Linked DNA regions of Neodiprion lecontei. The protein of the gene in region 1 purifies or fractionates together with the protein of each later gene. This does not show direct contact. Links are inferred from orthologs where the notes say so. Each region holds a gene or a part of one and is shown on either strand. Other genes may lie near its edges.

Region 1 (10,360 bases):
TCTTCGCTAACTGTCGGAATGTTGCTAGTTTCTTCGAACCATCTGATTGCATCTTGATAACGCCCAACTGCTACATAACATTTACCGAGAAGTAATTTGTTATCTTTAAATGGCTTTATCGTCAATTCTTCGGCACGTTCAAAATCAACAATCGCTTCCTCGTAAGTTGCACTTGGAGGTTCTGCGAACAATGTTGACGCAACCTGTATAAAATTGATGAAAAAGTTGCAATTTTTAGGCGACACAATAAAAAAATTTTCCAATCAATAATTTAAAGATTGGAATAATCAACTGAAACAGACAATATATAAAGTCAAACTGACCTTTCTCTCAATCCAGGTTAAGCCAGCAACTTCAAATTTGAACCTTCCCGATAAATGATGAAGTACCGGGTCTTCTGGTCTGATTTCTAATGCTTTGTTGAGATGTTTTTTGAAGCGGTAGCCACCTTCTATTTTTTCTTTAGTAGAAAGAAACATTCCGTGTGATCCTATCAATATTGCATACCACTTGTGAAAGTCTGCGCTGTCTGCTTCTTCAAATCTTTCGCAAGGCTTGAGACCTACGGGGTAATAAAAATTTTATTTGGAGTTGGAATACACGGATACTTCAGAAAAAAAACTAGAGAATATTGCTTCTTAAATCCTTACCTTCGACGATAAGAGCGAGCTTTTTACTTGTCTCCGTAGCATTTGTGGAGCATCTGTGACAAGCTCTTGCCAGCCTCCATATAACTTCAATATTATCTGGATATTTAACAAGTAGATTACGTAGTGTACTAAGAGCCTCTTCACACTCGCTACCTGGACGTAGTTCCGATGCTTCAATTAGTTTGTCTGTTTCAGCGAGCGTTCTGTCCAGTTCGTTTGTTGGTCCTGAGATCCTGCATTACTAAACATATACTTTCTTCTGCTAAACTTTCTATAATTCATGTGGCATATAATCTGTTCTCGGTGAAAATTTGCCACGAAGAAAGCATTTTCACGTTTCTTTAATATATAATGTATCTCATTACCTCTGGTACACATCAATTAATATAAATATCAAACGTTCAATTAAATTGAAGTAATCATAAAATATCAAGTACAATTACAAAATGCATTCGGCGGCATGTATTTCAGATGAAACTAATTAAAAAAAAATAAAAACACACACAAAGTGGGCACTAAAATTGACATATTTATTTATAGTAAATTACTTTACTAGCGTGCATCAATATAAGTATCCATCGAAATCTTTTGGCATTTGAAAATGCTGTGATAATATTAGCGGATAACATTTATCACTGCAAAAGATTTGTTTGTGAAAGGAAAGACTTGCCTTTGTGGTAAGGAGTCCAGTTTGTACTTTCTACTTTGCTTCCTTTTCAGGAAGATTTATTATTCTATGTATTGAAATGGAATATGAGTTATTAGTTTGATTACGATCCATTATTTGGTTGTTAAATTTACAGACCTTTCATTGTCTCCATCGCCTGACTCCATGTCGGAGAAATCAAAGAATTCATCATCGTCAAACTCTGTGTCAGCTGTTGAAAAGGCGTCTACGTCAGTGTCATTATCTGTTGCAGAATAAGTGCTGCTATTTTTAAGATTCGGCTTTCGTCGCGATATTCTTTCTCGATTCCTGCGTTGATTTTGCTGTAATCTAATTAGGCAAGTATGAAATACAAGTGGTAATGACAATAACCTTTCAATCTGTACTTTTTTAATTTTATTGTTAGTTACGTTAAATTAGTTATACGTATTTCAGAGGGCTAGATATAACGTGATTATCGAAATATCTACAACTAAAAGGAGCCTACCTCAAAAGATCCAACTGTGCTTGTAGTTCGGCCATAGTTTCACCCATTTTATCCAAATCTCGTCTGACTCTTTCGGTCTGTTGTTGTTCTCTTATTTTCTGGTACACGAACAGACCCACAGCCCCAATAACGCCAAACGCTGCAGCAACTGCAGTCGCAATCAGTCGCGGAGAGTTTATATCACTCATGGTGCTAAATTGTGGATAAAACATAAAATGTATGATTAATTAAAGAAGTTATGAAATAATCAAAGCAGATATATACAAGGGCATAATTGTACAAAATTATGATATTGCAATTTTTCTATCTGTATGTTTAAACCGCATCACGTGCTTTGAAGTATTCAATGTGATTTTGGGTGGGAAATATTTGTTGGTGTTTCTGTCTATTGTTATACTGTACATTATCACAAAATATAGTTCTAAATTGTGTTTCAATATTACTGGGGAGCTTTTCTCATTCTGACGGACTCTTGGTTCATGGAATACATAAAGAGAACTCACGGCAGTTCACATAACAGATTTGGAAGAAATTTAGACTTTGAACTTCGAACGTGTGTCAAGTGTTTTTTCTTCACACTACGTACAGTTCTTACAGGTACATTAATGCAAAGCGGAAATGTATTCAACCAATCATACGTAAGATTTGAGAGGAAATTTCCACCTTTTCAATATACAGCTCATTGGTTATTTGTATTTCACAATAATTTGTGTAGCTAAGTAATGTGCATTCATAGCAAAGAATCTAATGTTTTCAGTGAACGAGCGGTCTTTTTGAATGTACAGTGATGAAAGATTTACCAATATTTGCTTATCAAATTTGTCAGACAGCAGACTAAAAGAGCGAACACTGTCAAACACTACATTACCTGTACCTACTCTGTGTTTCAAATGGATACTGTAACGTAGTGTCCTCAGTTTAAAGTTCCCTGTGCAACATTGAATGAACTTAATGCAGTGCACAAAATTTTGGCATGTCATTAGTATGGTATTTGACTTATGAGTGTTTCGTCATTAAGTAGAAATTGCGAAATAACGGTATAAACATTGTTTCGACACACGTTTATACGTCCTTGCAATTTCAGCACTGAAATACCTCAATCATTTCGTAGTAAGCTATCCTAATTAACAGGCAACATCGGTGTTTGTAACCCTGTTAAAATGGGAAATAATTTGCCAGGGTTGGAAAAAATAATTTGTTTGTTCGTCGTCTTGTATAGTATAAATTATGAAGAGTGACATGGCAAGTAACATTGAGCTGTAGAACTGGGTCAGATCAATTATAGCGTACGTTACATACGCATGTTTCATTTCGCGAGTATAGGCAAAAATGCTAGTGATAATGCATGTGCTAATTTCACGAAAGGGGAGTATGAATTATTTCTTCAGCAAAGTCGTATCAATCAATGGCAATACAGGCAGGTTTGGGCATGAATAATGGATAAATTAAACGGGTATAAAATAAGTAAACAACTATACTCGTCAACGTACGATTCTCGTTAGTTTTCATCCGACTTTTGGAACTGGTGAATTAACTGTATAATAAAGATAACTGTAGACAGGCCAAAAATTTTGTCATGTTTCTTCTAAATAATAATCAAAATTATCCAGCAGCACACTGCAGCACGCGACTCTTTCACATTACACCTTTACATGGTACATACAACTAGTCGCGTTTTCAGCGAGTCTTAAGAATCGCGTATATACTGTTGTGAATCCCCTCGCACCACACATCAAACTGACATTTTTCTTTCTTATTTTAAAACCAAGGACAATCTATCCAACGCTCAATTTTTGTAAAACACAAAAAGCCCTTTTCGACATGCAGTTGAACGTTTCTGCTTTGCGAAAGAAGCGTGCCGCAACTGTTTTTCACTTCCGCCGGCGGCCCATAGAGGCGTAAAAGTCGCTGGAAAAACAAAAAAGCATCATTCTTGGCGCGTCATATGAATCGAATGACTGATGCATATGATTTACAAAAAAAAATTTGGTTATACTTTCAAACTCATTTACACATTAGCAAGCGATTTCTGGACAGTTGATCGGCTCATAGTTTTCGTGACTACATTTTACTTACTTATGAAATTCGGAAATCGGATTTTGGGCGTCCAACGATCCGTCGATTGCGAACAACGGGACCGGTGGAACAAAACTCGAATCTCGGCCATTTCCGTTAATCCGAGCGTTAATCAAGAATTACGTTGCCGAAAGATATATTGTATATCGTATAGCTTTAGTTTTTAGCCAACGAAAATTATAATGCTAACTGTCCGAACGCCTGTTGGATATCGACGCTGAAAGTATATGAGGATCTGTATTAATTGTTCCAATCATCATCGTAACACGTATACATTGCGGCTACAGTGCGCAGCTCTGACATGACAGAGGTCGCAGTAATCAACATTATTAGGTATCCGAGCGGAACGCCGGATTTTCGAACCGGAAGTGGCAGGCAGTGTCCAGCAGTGTCTTCGTCAGTCTTCATATACCTATCATGGAGTCGTTAGCGTCCGTGCACAATATTCCCTCAAGCTGTCGGTCGTAGTCTGTATTATACGCGTTGAGATTTCAAAAAAGTTGATGACGCTTGTCCAGGGAGTGTTCGCTTGGCGCTATATTTGCAGTATTATTGTAAATAAAGTGTTTGGTAATTTGTGGCCTTAGAACGTTGAAGTGTTTTGTGTACGTCGAAGTGGTGACCTGGGAGTAGGCCTCGACAAATATAATCGTGACGATACTGCAGCAGGTTGGTCTCACTATTTTACCGTATTATGTATATCAATGACCCGACATAAACTTCGATTAAATTCACTACAGTAATCGTCTCTGCCACGAGTTTACTTCACCATTACCGACTAACCTTCAAACATGGTTATTCGATGCCACACATCCCCACTACAATTTTTGCGTCATCATATCCCTAGTGCTTCGAAAGTTGGCACATACACTTTCATCAAAATTTTCGTTGTGGGACGAAACGTTTGTTTCGCTCGCCTCTTCAATTTACTCATTCTTTCACATATCCAACACTTGTCCAATGTATTTTTTCCTTTCTAGTTTTCTCTTACCATAAATACAAGTGTTAGGCACCTGTGCTGGCACTGTTTGCAACACGGGTTTCTACAATTACTGAACACATGTTATTTCGTTATTTCACTCTGTTATTTGAAGTTGAAAATAAATGAAAAAGGAAATGTTTTGCTCCTGTGAAAGTATGTCTTGCATCTTATTTTATTGCTTTGTCAGCACTCTTCTACAATCCATTATCAACTACGAATTTTTATCATCAATTACGGATATTCACAACGATGCAGAACCTACAATTTTTGTAACTATGACTTTTTTAATTTTATTTCAGATATTATCGCAAGGATGGCGTTACTACTGTTAAATGTATTTCGTGACTTTGTTCTATAATATGTCTCGGGATCTGAGTCTAAGAAGAAGAGACCTTGGTTTTAGATAAACTTATTTAAATTATTTCATTTTCCAAACCATCAATATGTCTGTCAATGCTCAATTCGCCAATCCACCCCCGGTGATAAGTTTACCAAACATGTCGGTTCCACCACCCATTGCAACGCCGAATTTATCTGCACCTCCTCCTAATTTAACAACTATAAATACTACGACTGGAGGTTATCAGCACAGATTTGGTACTCACAGAGATGGAAATCGTGGTTTTTTCAAACCATTTCGACCTTATCATGCCCCGAAAGTTATAGCTGGTGGTCAAGATGCGTTACAAGATGAATTCGATGGAAAGAGACTCAGGAAATCTGTGATGCGAAAGACGGTCGACTATAATGCTGCTATTATTAAAACCTTGGAGGTAATAAATTACTCGTATAAACAAATTACTTTGGTTCCTGTTTGTAATTTCATATTTTTTTTATCTCGTCAGAATGTTCAGCTGCTCCTTTGAAGCTTCTAATACCTCTAGCATCTTTCTTCTTCGTGTAGGTGTAGATTAAATTTCCATCTTTTTGTTACTCAGAATCGGGTTTGGCAGCGAGACTACAGAGACAGAAGAGCTCTTCAGCCTGACGTTATATATTATCCTGACCTTCTGCCACCACCAAGCTACGTTGATAATCCAATCAACGCAGTGACAACAAAATTTGTCAAAACAGCAACGAATAAAATGAGGTGTCCAATATTTTGCATGGCTTGGACCCCCGAAGGAAGAAGGCTTGTCACTGGTGCATCGAGTGGCGAATTCACATTATGGAATGGGCTTACTTTTAACTTTGAGACTATTCTACAGGTGGGGATATATCAAGAAAATTTACCACTTTTTTGATAGTCTATTAGTACATGGACCTAATATTCTTGCTCTATGAATCTGTTACAGCCTCTATTCTCGTAAATCGCTATTTTTTTTATCTGTAAAAGATTATGAGATTCGTTAATTCAATGTCCATGTGTATCTGAGTTACAAATATAGTTCTCAGAGGTCATTTTCGTTTATGAAAAAATCTTGGCTTGGTTTTTCATTCTCCTTGTCATGTCAACAAATATCACGATTCTCAGAAAATTGAATTTAAAATGTCAAATAAACAAACTGTCAGTAAGCAAAGATAAGCAACACATCTCTAACTTGGTGTGGCTAATTGAAAATTTGCAAAATATGGTTTAATATTAGCATCTCCTCTTGAGTGTCGAATTAGTCAAAAATGAACCTAATGTGATGGAATAACCTTGTAAAATGTCCCGACAGGGCAGTTAAAAAATAATCATTCATTCTTCCATTTCTTAGGCTCATGACAGCCCTGTACGTACAATGGTTTGGTCCCACAACGAAAGCTGGATGGTGACGGGCGACCACGCAGGCTACGTTAAGTACTGGCAGAGCAACATGAACAACGTCAAGATGTTTCAGGCGCACAAAGAGGCTATTAGAGGACTCAGGTATAGCATCTACCACTCTAGTCCTTACATCTATCGTGACACTGTCCTTCACGGCCGATTAACTTATGTAGCAATCAGGACACAGGACGTGGGTTTCATTTTGATGTATTTTCCATTTAGTAAAACGTTTGAGATCAAGTTACACCTTCTCATTTGGGTACATAGGTGAAGTGTTTTTCTTGTTTCTTTAGTGTGGTCTGTTCTTATCAATGATCTGAGCATTCAGCATTTTTTTTTTAATGCTGTCTCCGTTTGTTTGTACCTTAGATCCAGTGTATCGGCAATCAGGGTGTTAACTAGATCAAATATAGTACTTTGGTTTGTGTATGTGCGTCGAGATTGCTATATCTTATGATTACAAACAACCGTTTTTGAATTTTTTTTTTTTACACCTACGAAGCTGAACTGAGGTGACAGTAGCATATTAAAATCTGGCCAGTATGAAACTCAAAACGTCATTCGAATCTTCCAAGTATTACGAATAATAAACAATCGTATCAATCATGACTTTGTGAGGAACGAGACATTTATCAGGGTCAGGGATTGATTTACAAAAAAAATTCTTTGAATCTGTTCGTATAATTAATTTTGCGTTACATACTAGTAGGTAGTGCTTTGAAAAGATTATTGGGCAGTACGCGAAACACAGGTGAAATCGCAGCATGTATTGAATAGATAGGTTCAATGGATCCTCGATTTTACAGTATAGTTACCTGTTCTGAGAGCCATCGGGATCTTATCTTTGCATGCAATGGACCATATTCAACCATTTTTATCTCAGGCTCAGAAGTTTTGCATATACTGAACAGTTACCGATGTTTTACATTAATTACACACTATAATTTTGTGGTCAAATTTCCACTCAAGAGTTCAAATAGGTTTACGCAAACGAGCTTCCTTTATCTTGCAAACGTATTTCTTTATTCCCAGTCTATCCCTGTAATTATGTTCATTTACTTCAAAGTCTTGTAATATTTCAATGCCGGTGTGTAATTGCGGGAAGAAATTTAAGTAGAAGCGCAATTGGGACCTTATGGCTGTCAGGAATAAAGTTTGTATACAGGATAGGATATTGGGCAAAGATGTATCGTAGAATAAAGAGAAGATGGTAATATTGATAATAATAAAACTAAAGAAAAAATACAGCAGCACCCAGTCGAGATTCCCATCGAATATATAATAAAGAAAAATATCCTAGCTCCCTTCACATCATCCAAAAATATCAATATAAATGAATAAATACTTCACTATATTATCACATATATATTTGCATTAATAAAGAATGATCATTATATATCTTCCTTTGTTTTGTGTTGCTCTTGTCCTTCAGAAAACTGATTATCTTAAATAAAGACAAATTTGGAAAAAAAAATTTATTAATAAAATAATGAAGGAACATTCTGTACACATTAATCGTTTTTTTTTATGAAATAAACGTTAAATTTGAGAAAAAATAAACCTAATTTTCGTACATTCTCCGGTGGTCATGTGGCATCGAAAACACATTGTGTACGTGTGCAAATTGAGCTCAGTTATTGCTCATAAACTGCAGAGTGTATTTTGAGTGCCAGATATGACTGTCGGAGATGGCTTTTTGTTTATTTACAATATTTACATCTAGTTGATCCTTTTATTAGAAAATATACCATGTCCATATTTTGGACTCTGCTGATACATTAACAAGATTTCAGAACAGTGACTTAATAAAGTTCTAAGTTAAGTCAAGAACACTTCCACATACACATTTCCTACCTTTTCTCCACGTGCAGTGCGATATTTACTAATACTTCCTCCATTCAATATCCATTTTTGAGAATATTTCCGATATCTGCATTAATTCATTTCGCTGCGGAATAATTTCAGTAACTTAAGACACTGCAAGAAAATTGAACATAACAATCTATCATTTACAATTGTTCCTATTGCAATGAACTCCAAAATTTAACAAGCCTGACATTCTGATGCTACTTTGGTTGAATAATATAATTTTTCCTCCTATTTCTATCTGAATCTAAATTTCGTTGTATTATTACCTATTTTTTTCATATTTTGTTTCAAATTTTCATTCGAATCGTATCTTATTTATTGACGTTTAAAATCTGAGATGCTGGTCAATTATCATTAAGCGATATTCGGTACAATATCCTGATTGGAGGAATTTTAGTCAAATAATATTCTGCACATTATCATGCAAAGTGAAAAAAAGCAACGAAAAAACATTTCCACATTAAAATTACACAACGCTGATGGGTATCACTTCTCCGTGACTGCTTCACTGCAATTGTCCGAGCCTCCAAGTCGTTTCGAGCTGTGCTATATTTGGGATCTTCACCAGATTGGAGTTGAAATTCTGTCAAATTGCATATTTCAATAAAGAATTAAATACCCCTTGCTTCTTCCTGCTTCTAGTATACTATCATCTGTAAAGAATTAGGAACTAAAAGAATTCGAAAAAAAAAGGAAAAGAAAAGACAACATGATAAATCGAGCAAATAAAGAAACCAAAAACACCAATAACCCAGAAGTTATGTACCATAAACTTTTAGCAGAATAAAGTTGTTAGGTTTTATTTATTTAATCGTTTACTAGTGAATATTACGCTCTGTGGTTGAAAAAATAAGAAAAAAAAAAAAAAAAAATTAACAATAAACCGACAATAATGCTGTATTTTTGGAATATTGAAATAAAGTTAACATTCAAGTATATTACACTTTATTATAATGATAAAAAATGTCAGGGTATTCTTGTTCTTCACTTGGTAATAATTTGGTATTGGTAGTTATTTCGTTATTTTATATCACTATTGAACGTTTGTTTGTTACATTACATATGTGATTTAAAAATAAAGAATTTCTTTTATAAATATGACCATGCATTTGGTGTGTATAACTTTGTTTTTTTGGGTGGGTAGTTTCAGTCCTACGGATCACAAGCTGGCCACTTGCAGTGATGACGGAACCGTCAGAATCTGGGACTTTCTGCGATGTCACGAGGAACGAATTCTCAGGGGTATAAACTTCTTTATATTACAATATATTTGTAATTTGGAAAGAGTAATTAAAACAATAATTATTTGCAAACAATAATGGCTAATTATCATTAATAACGTATTTGTTTTTTTTTTTAAACTTTGTTTCCACGTGTCACATTTGATTGAATTGTCCATATTTTCAAGTATACTCAAAAATCTAGGCAAATGATTTACAACAGTCAATCTTTCGTCTTTTTGATCTTTCAATAAAATAATTTCAGACTATTTATTCTGGTTCAATCCGGATATCGGTAAAATTGCAAACAATTTGAAAAGAATGTCGGAAGACCAATCTTACGACATATAAATGTCTATACCGATTAGTTACGAATTATTAATAGTAATTCAAATTGATTAACTGGTGATAACTATATTTGGTCGGGTTGCTGGTAGAAATAAAAAAGGAAAGAACCATTCATTGGCATTTAAAAAGTTGATTGTTAAATTTTATTTACATAATGTGGAATCCATGTGCTATAACTGCAAAGTTTGCCGTTAATAGTAAACTGCAACAGTGGACATATTGTTTAATAAATCTGCACTGATGATATTAAATGTATTATACCGTGAGGCTTGGATTGAATCAATTGGTACTAAATTGTGATTTTTCAGGTC
Region 2 (11,792 bases), about 16 Mb from region 1:
ATTTTATTAGCGGACTGACAGCCACCGAATTTGGGGTTGCGCGAAAAACGAATTGAAATAATTTATTGTAAACATGAACCAGGAACCACGGAGCGCTTATCCTGGAAGTCGAGAAATTTTATTAGCGGACTGACAGCTACCGAATTTGAGGTTGCGCGAAAAACGAATTGAAATAATTTATTGTAAACATGAACCAGGAACCACGGAGCGCTTATCCTGGAAGTCGAGAAATTTTATTAGCGGACTGACAGCCACCGAATTTGGGGTTGCGCGAAAAACGAATTGAAATAATTTATTGTAAACATGAACCAGGAACCACGGAGCGCTTATCCTGGAAGTCGAGAAATTTTATTAGCGGACTGACAGCCACCGAATTTGGGGTTGCGCGAAAAACGAATTGAAATAATTTATTGTAAACATGAACCAGGAACCACGGAGCGCTTATCCTGGAAGTCGAGAAATTTTATTAGCGGACTGACAGCCACCGAATTTGGGGTTGCGCGAAAAACGAATTGAAATAATTTATTGTAAACATGAACCAGGAACCACGGAGCGCTTATCCTGGAAGTCGAGAAATTTTATTAGCGGACTGACAGCTACCGAATTTGAGGTTGCGCGAAAAACGAATTGAAATAATTTATTGTAAACATGAACCAGGAACCACGGAGCGCTTATCCTGGAAGTCGAGAAATTTTATTAGCGGACTGACAGCCACCGAATTTGGGGTTGCGCGAAAAACGAATTGAAATAATTTATTGTAAACATGAACCAGGAACCACGGAGCGCTTATCCTGGAAGTCGAGAAATTTTATTAGCGGACTGACAGCCACCGAATTTGGGGTTGCGCGAAAAACGAATTGAAATAATTTATTGTAAACATGAACCAGGAACCACGGAGCGCTTATCCTGGAAGTCGAGAAATTTTATTAGCGGACTGACAGCTACCGAATTTGAGGTTGCGCGAAAAACGAATTGAAATAATTTATTGTAAACATGAACCAGGAACCACGGAGCGCTTATCCTGGAAGTCGAGAAATTTTATTAGCGGACTGACAGCCACCGAATTTGGGGTTGCGCGAAAAACGAATTGAAATAATTTATTGTAAACATGAACCAGGAACCACGGAGCGCTTATCCTGGAAGTCGAGTTTCACCGCGTAGCGGACCCGAAGCGCGGGATCCGGGAGGTTGAGAACCCGGTACTCGAAATACGTAGCGGACCTGAAGCGCGGGATCCGGGAGGTTGAGAACCCGGTACTCGAAATTTGCGGAGCGCGACTCTCATGCGTCCGCTCTACTGCGCGGTTGTTTCCAGACTGAGAAATTCGGCTAGCTGATTTTGAATTGGTGACGTCACTTTCTGAACGTCCGACATCCAAACTATGGTTTCGAACTTTGATACTATGTATGATGATGTATGATGTACGATGTATGATGTATGATGTATGAGGTATGGTCATATGATATGATGTATAATGATTTTAGCTTTCACATTTCATACAAGAAATACACACTTTATCTCTCCTGCTGATTCCAGACTCAAGCGGCCAGGCCCTTCGATGGTCAGCCGTTGACTGAAGATATATTCTTCAGTGAACGGGTCGGCTAATAACGCTGCCGTTCTGCGACAGTTGGATGATGAAAAATTTCGCTCGTATCTTTCAAATGTGTGTTAAAATACACTCGAAGTGTTAAGAAGCGTCGTTCTTTCTCTTCCTATCACCTTTCTAGGTCTTTAAACCACTACGCAGCGTTAAATACCGTCTCATATACGAAGCATCCATTTCATCTCGTTCAAAATAAGCGCATCCGTGATGTATTACAGTTACTCTGAATTTTATTCCATCCGAATACTTTTCGAAAAACAATTCTGCTCCTCTACCCAACGCAGATACTTCACTTGCGACCAGCTAAAACAACGTTTCGATTCTATGCCTATGAAAATTCAAGATCGAGAGAGCAAATGAAAAGTTGTTGGAATAATTATGAATACTAATGTTATGGAATACATCGAGCGTGCGCCGAATAGAATCCCATTTCGAAATGAATAATTCTTCTCTTTTCATATCATAGATAATCTGGTAATATAGGTAAATAGGATGGTTGGAGGTGTTCGGAAATGTTAGGAGGTGGTCGGCGCTGGCAGAAGGTGATAGGGGGTGGTCGAAAGTGGCCATTGATGGTCGGAGGTGGCAGGGGGAGGTAGGAGGTGTTCGAAAATGGTAGGACATTTCAAAAGTTAAAGTCGACGATGATCCGATGCATCAATTTTATCGTATATTTGATAAATTATTCCTAAATACATTGAAACATATGTATTTGTAATGAAATATCATGCAATGGGCTGTGTAAACTATAAACTATAATTTCTGTCAAATAGCTGCTTTTATGTCAACAGGGCTTTGAGACTCAGTTCAGTTCGTCCTCCTCCTCGTCCACCTCCGACCACCTCCAACAATCGCCAACCACCTCGAACAACCACCGATAACCACCTCGGGTTGTACCTGGAATAGCAATAAATATTATCAGTATAAGAACACATCAAAAATATTGTGTAAGGATAAATATAATTATTCAATCAATTAATGATATAATAAGATTTATTAGCGTATTTCTATTTACTGAATTTGTGCCTGCGCAAAAATGAATTGAAATAATTTATTGTAAACATGACAAGTTCATAAACTTTCAGATGAAATAGAATCACAATCGCCATTAAATATTATTAAAATATTATACTCACTGTGCAGAATTCCTCTTCCTCCCGTCCGTCTTGTTCTCCTTGTCTTCCTCCTCCGTGTCCTCTCCTTGAAGTCTAGTTTTGCCGGCTGGTCGACCTGGAGCGCAGGAACCACGGAGCGCTTGATCTGGAAGTCGAGTTTCACCAGGTAGCGGGCCTGGAGCATAGAAACTGCGAAGCGCTTGTCCTGGAAGACGAGTTGCACCAGGAAGCGGACCCGCAGCGCAGGATCCAGAAGGTAGAGAACCCGGTACCCGAAATCTGCGGAGCGCGTTTTTCATCCGTCCGCTCTATTGCGCGGTGGTTTCCAGACTGAGGAATTCGGCTAGCTGATTACTCTAGATCGATGACGTCAAGAGAAAAAAAATTTTGTCTGACGTCACTTTCTGAACATCCAAGCATCCAAACTTTGGTTTCGAATTTTAATACTATGCATGATGATGTATGATGTGTGACGTATGATGATATGATATGACGTATAATGATTTTAGTTTTCACATTTCAGACAGAAAATACGCACTTTATCTTTCCTGCCGATTCCAGACTTAAGCGGCTAGGCCCTTCGATGGTCAGCCGTTGACTAAAGATGTATTCTTCCGTTAACGGGTCAGCTATCAACGCCGCCGTTTTTCGACAGTTGGATCATAACACTTTATGCACGTACCTTTCAAATGTATGTTAAAATACACTTGAAGTTGTAAGAAGCTTCGTCCTATCTCTTCCTTGAAAAAAAAAATCACCGACAATCATCCTTTCATGACTTTAAATCAGGACACTGCCTTAAATACTGTCTCATATACGGAGCATCCATTTCATCTCCATCAAATTTAGCGCATCCTTGATGTATCACAGTTACTCTGAATTTTTTTCCATACGAACACTTTTCGAAAAACAATTCTGCTGATCTACCCAACGTAGATACTTCACTTGCGACTAACTAAAACAACGTTGAATGAAAAGTTGTTGCAGTAATTATGAATATCAATGTTATGGAATACGTCGAGCACGTGTCGAATAGAATAATTCTTCTGTTTTTATATTACAGCCGTATAAGTCGCAGTCGACAAGTAGTCTCACGTACTTACTTTGTACCGACCCAATCTCAAGCTTTCATTCCGACACTACTTTGGCTGCTACGAATGTCGTTGCAAGCTCGTTAGGTAGAATCGATAGAGCAGAACCCACATACGCTCTTAGGCCCACCTGGGCCCATTTGCCCCCCGAAAACAGGTCACATAAATTTACTCAAGGGTATCCGTCTTTATGTTCTTCAGTCAACGTGTAGGACTTTTATGCCTCGTATCCGAACATCACAAGTTTTTTTGGTGTAATCTTCGGACGCGACGTTTTGTGGAGATTCAGTTAAGTGACGAATAGTATTAAAATGTATTGAACGTGATTTTGGAAATTCAAAATATAGATTAGATTGCGAGGAATACACTTTTTCTTCTGTTCCGTCGACCCCTTCTTGCTCGGCTCTGAAAATTTATGAAACCTTTACATTTCTGGTAAAAATTCTTTTTCGGAAAGTTGAATGGCGCAGTCGTATGTGATTGGTTGTGTACGAAATAGAAAAATGTTTAATAATTTTCAAGTAAAAATCTAATGCTTTCAAAGCATTAAAAGCCTGCACGATGTTACAGAAGAAATATATGTATAGTGTCTTAGGTATATAATGTATAAGTACAAATATAACAGATATAGAATATAATGCATACATGTATGATCATTGGTTATAGACAACTAGATTGGTCGGATTTCATCCAATGTAAACTTACACCGTAACGTTAACCTATTACAATTTAAATTTATTATTTATCGCGATGGATGTAAAATATTTATTCAGATTCACGTATCCGCTAATATGATCTAAATTTCTAGGGTCTCATATCCTTAGAACATTCAATCCTATTTCCAGTATTTCAAGGCTCCTTTCTCCGCGGGAGACTCACCAGTCTCAAGGGTGGGCCGTAGTTGGTTTCGACGCTGTCGCATGTATCTTGAATTATCAAAGTCCCCGTATCTAAATCGCAAAAAAGGCATAAACGCCCCATTGTACATGAAATTCTGAACAAAACCACCCCAAACACTTTCATTTAATGAAAAAATAAAGAAATGACACAATTTCTACGAATTTACTCTCGCGCATTTGTATGTATTTCTTTTATGACATTTCTTTATTTTTGCATTACTAGGGGCTTCGCTTCTGTGCGCCTCACTATTTCCTTATACAGTGTCTGTTAGACAGGTGAATTTATTTGTGCTGATCTGATGGCAGGTCCGCAACTGTTGATCGGTTGTTTCCTCCAATGCAGCGCCAACCTGATAATACTATTATTATTGGCACATTTTCATCCCTACCATTCCTTCCCCACGTACATCCCTAGATAGCAGCGTCGCGACATGGCTATTTCTAACACTAAAAACTACGGACAGCAAGAGAACCACACCGCTCTGTAGAAAATTGACTTCGTTGCCAGACCTGTATATAAGACCGTGGTACTGACCGTTGCATAGCCGGGGATTGGAAAGATGGCGGATGAAAGCGAGGATCAGTGGTTGTACGGTGATTCGGTAGATGGGAAAGAAGTTTCCTCGGCTCAATCAAGTTTGGAAAACTCAAGAAATGAAGACGCTCCCAACTCATGTCAAGAGTCGTTGGTCTTGGGTGCCCAATTACCTTTTTCTGACGGACCACCAGGAGTAAGCATTTCACCTAACCTATATTTTGACTTATTACATTGCTGTTCATTACTTTGGCCCGTGATGTCGCCAATTAACGTAAATTCAACTAAACTGCTAAATTTCCTGCCATGGCTTCAGTATATCCTTTGTTGAGTCCATTTTTTGACACATCTATTTTTGTAGGTAGTTGGGAACATGTCTGGGTTATAGGTTAGTTGTACTGATTCCTCGCCGTAATCATAGATTTTGATTCATTATCGCATATATTTTACCGTGATATTGCTACCTACGGTGCTTTTCCACTTCCAAAATTCAAAATTCTACAAAACTGATGATATTTTAAGGCAAATCATGAAAACGCCTAAAAGAAGTATTTGTTTCAAGTAATGTACTGTTCTAAAATTAACGTGAAACTTATGGGAAAGTACTCCAAATAATTTGAAAATTAAGAAAAATCTCACAGGATTCTACTTCGGATAATGTTCAAGTGAATCAAGAAAGTTCATTGTTCGATAACATCATTCACAATGAAAGTGAAAGTCAAGAAAAGTTTTTAATTATATCTGTCTTTCAATTATTAAAGCTTATTGTGAATTAAATAAACTGCCAGCTGGTTAATTTAAAATAAATTTGTCAAAATGGTTCATTATGCAATAACAATGTAAAAGGGGATCAACGGATTTCTTCTGAAACCTAGGATGTAACAAGAAAAGAAACGAGTAGCATGGTCGTGGTCCAGTAAGGTCTATTTTCCAAAAGTCCATGGATGAGAAATCAAATTGACCATGATCCCTTTATCCCAATGCTGCGTCATGTTTCATCATTTGTACTTCATGATGAATATTCTATGTTTCCGTGATATTCAAAGAAAGTAAAAGCAACTTAGCCAGCTTATATTCGAAAAGTTGAATCAAGAGAAAATCCCCATTTTTTTTTTATTTTATTCTGTTAATCAGTGCATAGTAATTTACAAATATACTGTACTTGTTTGCAGGTGTCTGAAGACACAGGGCTTCAAGAAAACCATCAAATGGGAGAATTGGAGGCTGAAGTAAGTAATGCGGATAGAGAGAGTAACGAGAATGGAACAAAAGAGATGTCAGGCCAGGAAGATGGAGAAGCAGCAACTGATTCGGATTCAGATGACGATGTGCACGTCGTCATTGGAGACATTAAATCCACTCCGGCGTATAGCAGTCTAAATATAAAGCGCGGTGGAATGCTAACCGCTGCAACCGGTGCCCCAGATAAGTTGAACAAGCAGCCAGGAAAATTCAGCATCGATGAATTTGAAACGATTGGAGTCATCAATGGAATGCCTGCCCACGAATTCAATTTGGATCAGCTTGAAGATAAACCATGGAGGCAGCCTGGAGCAGATATAACAGATTACTTTAATTACGGTTTTAATGAAGAAACATGGCGAGCATATTGTGAAAGGCAAAAACGAATGCGTAGCGAATCTGGGGTTGGGTTGATACTCAACGCTGGAGGAGGAGGAGGCAATAACCCAGGAGGTGGAATCCGGGTGCCGCAAGTAGCAATTACTAACGATAATAGTAAGTATTCAGGGATCATGGGACCCAAGAGGGCAGGTCCACCGCCTGGCCGCAAAATGGCAGGAACTATAGACGTGATTGGAAGCTCTGGATTGGCCTCCAGACGAAACTTAGATAAATCACCACCTAAAGAAAATGTTATTCAAGTAATGACTGCTGATAGAAGGGAATACTCTAGAAAACCTGGTTTTCCTGACATGAGTGTTCCTCCTCCTGGAGCAGGAATGCCACCTCCCTTCGATATGCCTCCGCCAGGATACGCCGGGGAACCACCTCCTTTTTACATTCCGGAAACTGATCCTTATTATCAAAGCTACGAACCTACGCAGGACAGCCAGTGGGGAAATGATCCTGTGAGTAGTTTTTCTTGCTCATGTCGAAATGATATATTACAAAAATTGAATGTTTTTTTTTGTTTAGCAACACTTGCTGAATTGATTCCTTTGTATTAGTTTTCCGATACTAAATACGAATCTGATATCTCTGTTTCAGTTTTCACAAAAACGTTAAATGATATAAATAATTCATTAATACATTCGCATGTGTAATTTTACACAAGCAGAATTTCAAAAAATAATCACCATATATTTATTTGAATTGTTTCAACTATGGAGTTTATCATCAAAAAAATTTAGGAATCATAAATTCAGTAAATGTGATTAGATTGTCTATTCGGTCTAGATAAATAGCTGTGTCACAGAAATTGCCATGTGTAGTTTTGGATTTGAAAAATACAGATATTCAAATGCATAATCCCATTGTATGAGTCTTGCAACAAATGTTTGCAGTATGATATTAAGAATTCGAAATTAGGTATATATTCATGTATTTTTAACAGCTTCTTTGCTGAAACGATAGATAAAGTACATTAATATTTCATAGGTTCGAAATTTTGGTAGTCTTGGCTGTATTCGTTGAAACTATTTTTGGATGATGCTATTTTGACCAAACCAATCATTTTGTGACTTTGCATTTTTGTGAGTAAAAATCTATTAATTACTTTTGATCAAAGAAAAATCACATTCTATCTATATATTGTTCACTTCGATTGAAATAGTGCTCGTACAGTTTCCTTATCTGTTTTAAAAAGATTTTGATGAGTAATACGATGATACCTTATAATAAATACTTGGCAATAGCCATAAGTGGCAACTTTTCGAATTGTGTTATTCACGGTATTTCTCCAAGTTTTTAGTAAAAAGCTGCAATACGAAATGATTTTTCGACAAGTCCTCTTTAAAAAAATCATTTCTTGAAAAATGTTTCCTGTCTAATGTATAATAAAGAAATAGAGTTACATTTTGCTAGCTGTTTTAGTGGATGGTTGAAATTATTTTAAATTTCAGACATGGCAACCAACTAATCTTGCAATTCCATTAACGGAAGGTGAAGAAGACAAAGATGCTGGCCCTAAAACAATTCCTACTATGGTTCCGCCGATAGCAATACCAACTCTTTTACCTCCGAGAGATTCTAGAGAAACGAGAGACAGAGATAGAGATAGGGACAGAGACTCCATGGTGCGAGATAGAGAGAGGGACCGAGAACGTGACAGAGAACGAGAGTCTGTGTCAAGAGATCGGACAAGAGAAAGGGACACGGAGTCTGTCTCGAAGGAGGAAGATAGGGATAGGGACAGGGATAGATCGAGATCTCAACATCGCCACAAAGAAAGGTAATTATTTTACCAGATAGTTTTATTTTCAATCTTTTGTGATTCAGATATTTTTTTTATGCAACATGAAATAAACTTCAACGTCCGCAATGTGGTATTCAGTGTAGATTGTGGATTGCAATATCAAATAATTCAATGTTCCAAATATCGGAAATATTTAAGAAATTTTTAAATACTACAATTATTCATACCTTCCAGGCATAGGCACAGATCAAGATCGCGTTCACGTCGGCACAAATCCAAGTCACGCAGTCCTAGTCGGCGTAAAAAGAAATCCCGTCGATCGGAGCGGGAGCGTTCCAAAGAAGAAAGTGAATAGCCCTGTTGATTTCCAATTAGCTGTATGATTTTATCAATAACACATAATTTGCAAGTGGTTTTTTTTTACTCTTCCATACTGCTTACCGTTTTAATCCATTCTCCTTATCAGTTATTACGGGAAGTACGTGAGTAAGCTGATGTGAAAACCAACGATTTATTATTGTGTATTATACGAGGATATTCTGATAATTTATGTCAGAGTTCAGTCTACATTTTTTTTTGCGCTATAATTTGAATAATTAAAAATATACGAAAATATTCTTGACGCTGAGTTATAGTGAACATTTTGTGAATGAGAGTTACAACAATAAATCTTGATACCACAGAGTGAACTGTACTCTATTTTGTTCTAATTTCCTTCCAAATTTTTTTCATAATGAATGCACATCCAAAATTATAAATCCAGTTCAAGGTAAGTAGTTAAAGTTTATAAAATTGATCACGAGGAACCGTTAAAGCTGAACGTACCTGTTGATACCTCACTGTTTCGAAAGCCGCAGGGTTTCTTTGATTTCTTTGCCTGTAAGAACAATCCACTAACTGCTCTGCTAGAGGAATCCAGCATCTCTGCTGATTGAAAAGCACTGGATACTAGTTCATTCTGGAATTCTAATTAAACACAGTCATTATATGAAGATATTTATATTAAACCCTAATCGAAACTGAGCCTTTTGCTTTGAACTCTAGTAGTTTGATGTACATATTAAGGGGAATGTAAGCATAGTTCATGAAAGTTGCTTTTCATAGGCAAGTGCATGCGAATTTGATTTATACATCTTATATTACTACATCTTACTATGTTAATATTTTCTCATATATACATGTCAAAGATTAGGAAATAAATAATAAAATATACAAAAATACAATCATGTAACTCGGAGCGGTCATTTCACTAATAAAAAATGTGTAGCCTTACTGTTCATCCACTGTTTATACAGAACTGCAATGGAGATTGGACTTGTTTTACAAAAAAAGTAAATGATAATAGCCTTAAGGATAAGAGGTGAAAATTAAAGTCAAAAGATGTGAGTAATTCCCATTCAATGTATGGTTTTATATCATAATGTTATTACAGAAATGGTACTTCATTAATAATTAAGAGTAATTATATTTATCGGTAAATCACTTGCGGTTTAAATCAATGGATCGATCTGTTGTCGAAACAATGTGGATTATCGCACATGCGTCTTTTTCCCAACTACACATTCCATTTCTTTGTTTGTTACTTTTTGCTTCGTTTTTTTTTAAATCTCCAAAACTTCATCATACACAATGGAAAAAAATGTTACATTTGTACAACCATCATATACATGTTACATTTAGATTACCGTTAATTCATTACCATTTTTTAAAATACGCATGTTTACGTGTATGTGTCTGTGTGTGTGTGTGTATGCAAGGTGTTTAGCATGTGTGTAGCTATGAATGAAATGCTGCTAGAATTAAAACAAACTAGCACGACTATACCATGTGTGTTATTGAACTTGAACCGAATTCTAGAAGTGTTTCTATGGATATACAAAATTTATCTCTCAATGAAATATTACTTATTAGGCACTCAGATACTCTAATACCAGATAATTATTAGGAACATTTTTTTCATCTACCCACGACTACAAATATGGGTAGTTGATTCTGGCATAGAATTCTTCTGCTGTTCCAAAAATGTGAATCAAAGTTTAGAAGATTTTAGATAAGCACAAATCAGATGCCAATTCAATTCTTCAATTTAACTATCGATGTACTTCAGAATATTTAAAACGAAATAAGTTCTGTAAACTGATCGCATTGATCTTGTGAATATAATGATACATTAATTTTCAGAAGCTTTTTAAAAATTGGTTTATTCTTTTTCGGTTATTTTGAAGTAAAATATTAAGTGAAATTTAGTATATACATAGTAACGTTCCTTATTCAGATTTTTCAATGTGAACTATCCTGCGTGCAATTAGTTTTGAGCTGAATGGCGAATAGGAGAATAAATAGGATCTAAGATAGGTACTCATTGCGTACAAAAAAGAACTTAACTCAAGCGATGAAACACGACATAATTAATAATTATAACGATTAATTAACTGCATCTACATCGCAATCTGCCTTCGTAGTGCAACAAACGTTATTTAAAACTATGCTGAAGTATTTATAACTTGATTAATGAATTATTTATATCTTCAATAATTATCAGAGGTGATTTTTTAGAATGCTTCCCTGAAGCCCGCAGCACTAAATGACTTTAAAGGGTAACTGATAAGACTGTAACTTCTTGAAGTCTTCCGAGTTAAATGCAGTTGCAACTTTAATGAACAAAATTGAAAAGAAAGAACAAATAATTGAAAGAAAGTTATTCATCACTGAATGCGCCAATGACACAACATGAAAAGTATGCCTAGGCCTTGCTGCTAAGTAACACAGCAAATAATATTGAATAATAATCACAAAATAACTTAAATATGACCAAATCGTAGTAGAAACACTCCAACACTATCCAAGAATGTACAGGAAAAGAATATTTGATTGCATGCCAGTGTTACACTTGAGTATGCACCTTCCGTATTAAGAGTGTTAATAGTTTGTAGAATTGGATATAGAAACATCAGATTCTTAAACTTTTTCCAAATCTGTTTTTTTTCAGGTCTCATGTATTAGAAAATCAACTCGATTATTCTTCTGTATTACTTTGAAAAATTTCATCCAACACTCTTGTCCTCCTGTACACTTCATTCTACCAATTAGTGTCAAAAACAAGAAAATATAAATGAGTGAAAGACCGAAAGATAGGAAACAAAAAAAAAGTAAGACAAACTGAAAAAAT

Evidence for each region. The genes of interacting proteins can lie anywhere in the genome.
Region 2: the proteins of uncharacterized protein LOC107221552 (region 1) and pre-mRNA 3'-end-processing factor FIP1 purify together in Homo sapiens (affinity purification with mass spectrometry; 5 studies listed by BioGRID and IntAct, with this or other methods). This does not show direct contact. The link is inferred for Neodiprion lecontei from reciprocal best matches to the Homo sapiens genes WDR33 and FIP1L1.

Annotation. Positions count from the first base shown.
Region 1 is NC_060263.1:39,486,096-39,496,455, reverse strand, and holds the start of uncharacterized protein LOC107221552, read left to right. Parts: upstream 1-4,268; 5' UTR 4,269-4,549; intron 4,550-5,161; 5' UTR 5,162-5,305; coding exon 5,306-5,635; intron 5,636-5,800; coding exon 5,801-6,070; intron 6,071-6,562; coding exon 6,563-6,714; intron 6,715-9,625; coding exon 9,626-9,723; intron 9,724-10,357; coding exon 10,358-10,360. Other genes in the region: regulator of microtubule dynamics protein 1, read right to left, coding at 1-203, 324-562, 651-883, 1,456-1,647, 1,805-1,996, 2,248-2,294. UniProt on the Homo sapiens protein: Essential for both cleavage and polyadenylation of pre-mRNA 3' ends.
Region 2 is NC_060263.1:23,862,720-23,874,511, forward strand, and holds pre-mRNA 3'-end-processing factor FIP1, read left to right. Parts: upstream 1-5,217; 5' UTR 5,218-5,272; coding exon 5,273-5,443; intron 5,444-6,419; coding exon 6,420-7,337; intron 7,338-8,330; coding exon 8,331-8,659; intron 8,660-8,857; coding exon 8,858-8,978; 3' UTR 8,979-9,307; downstream 9,308-11,792.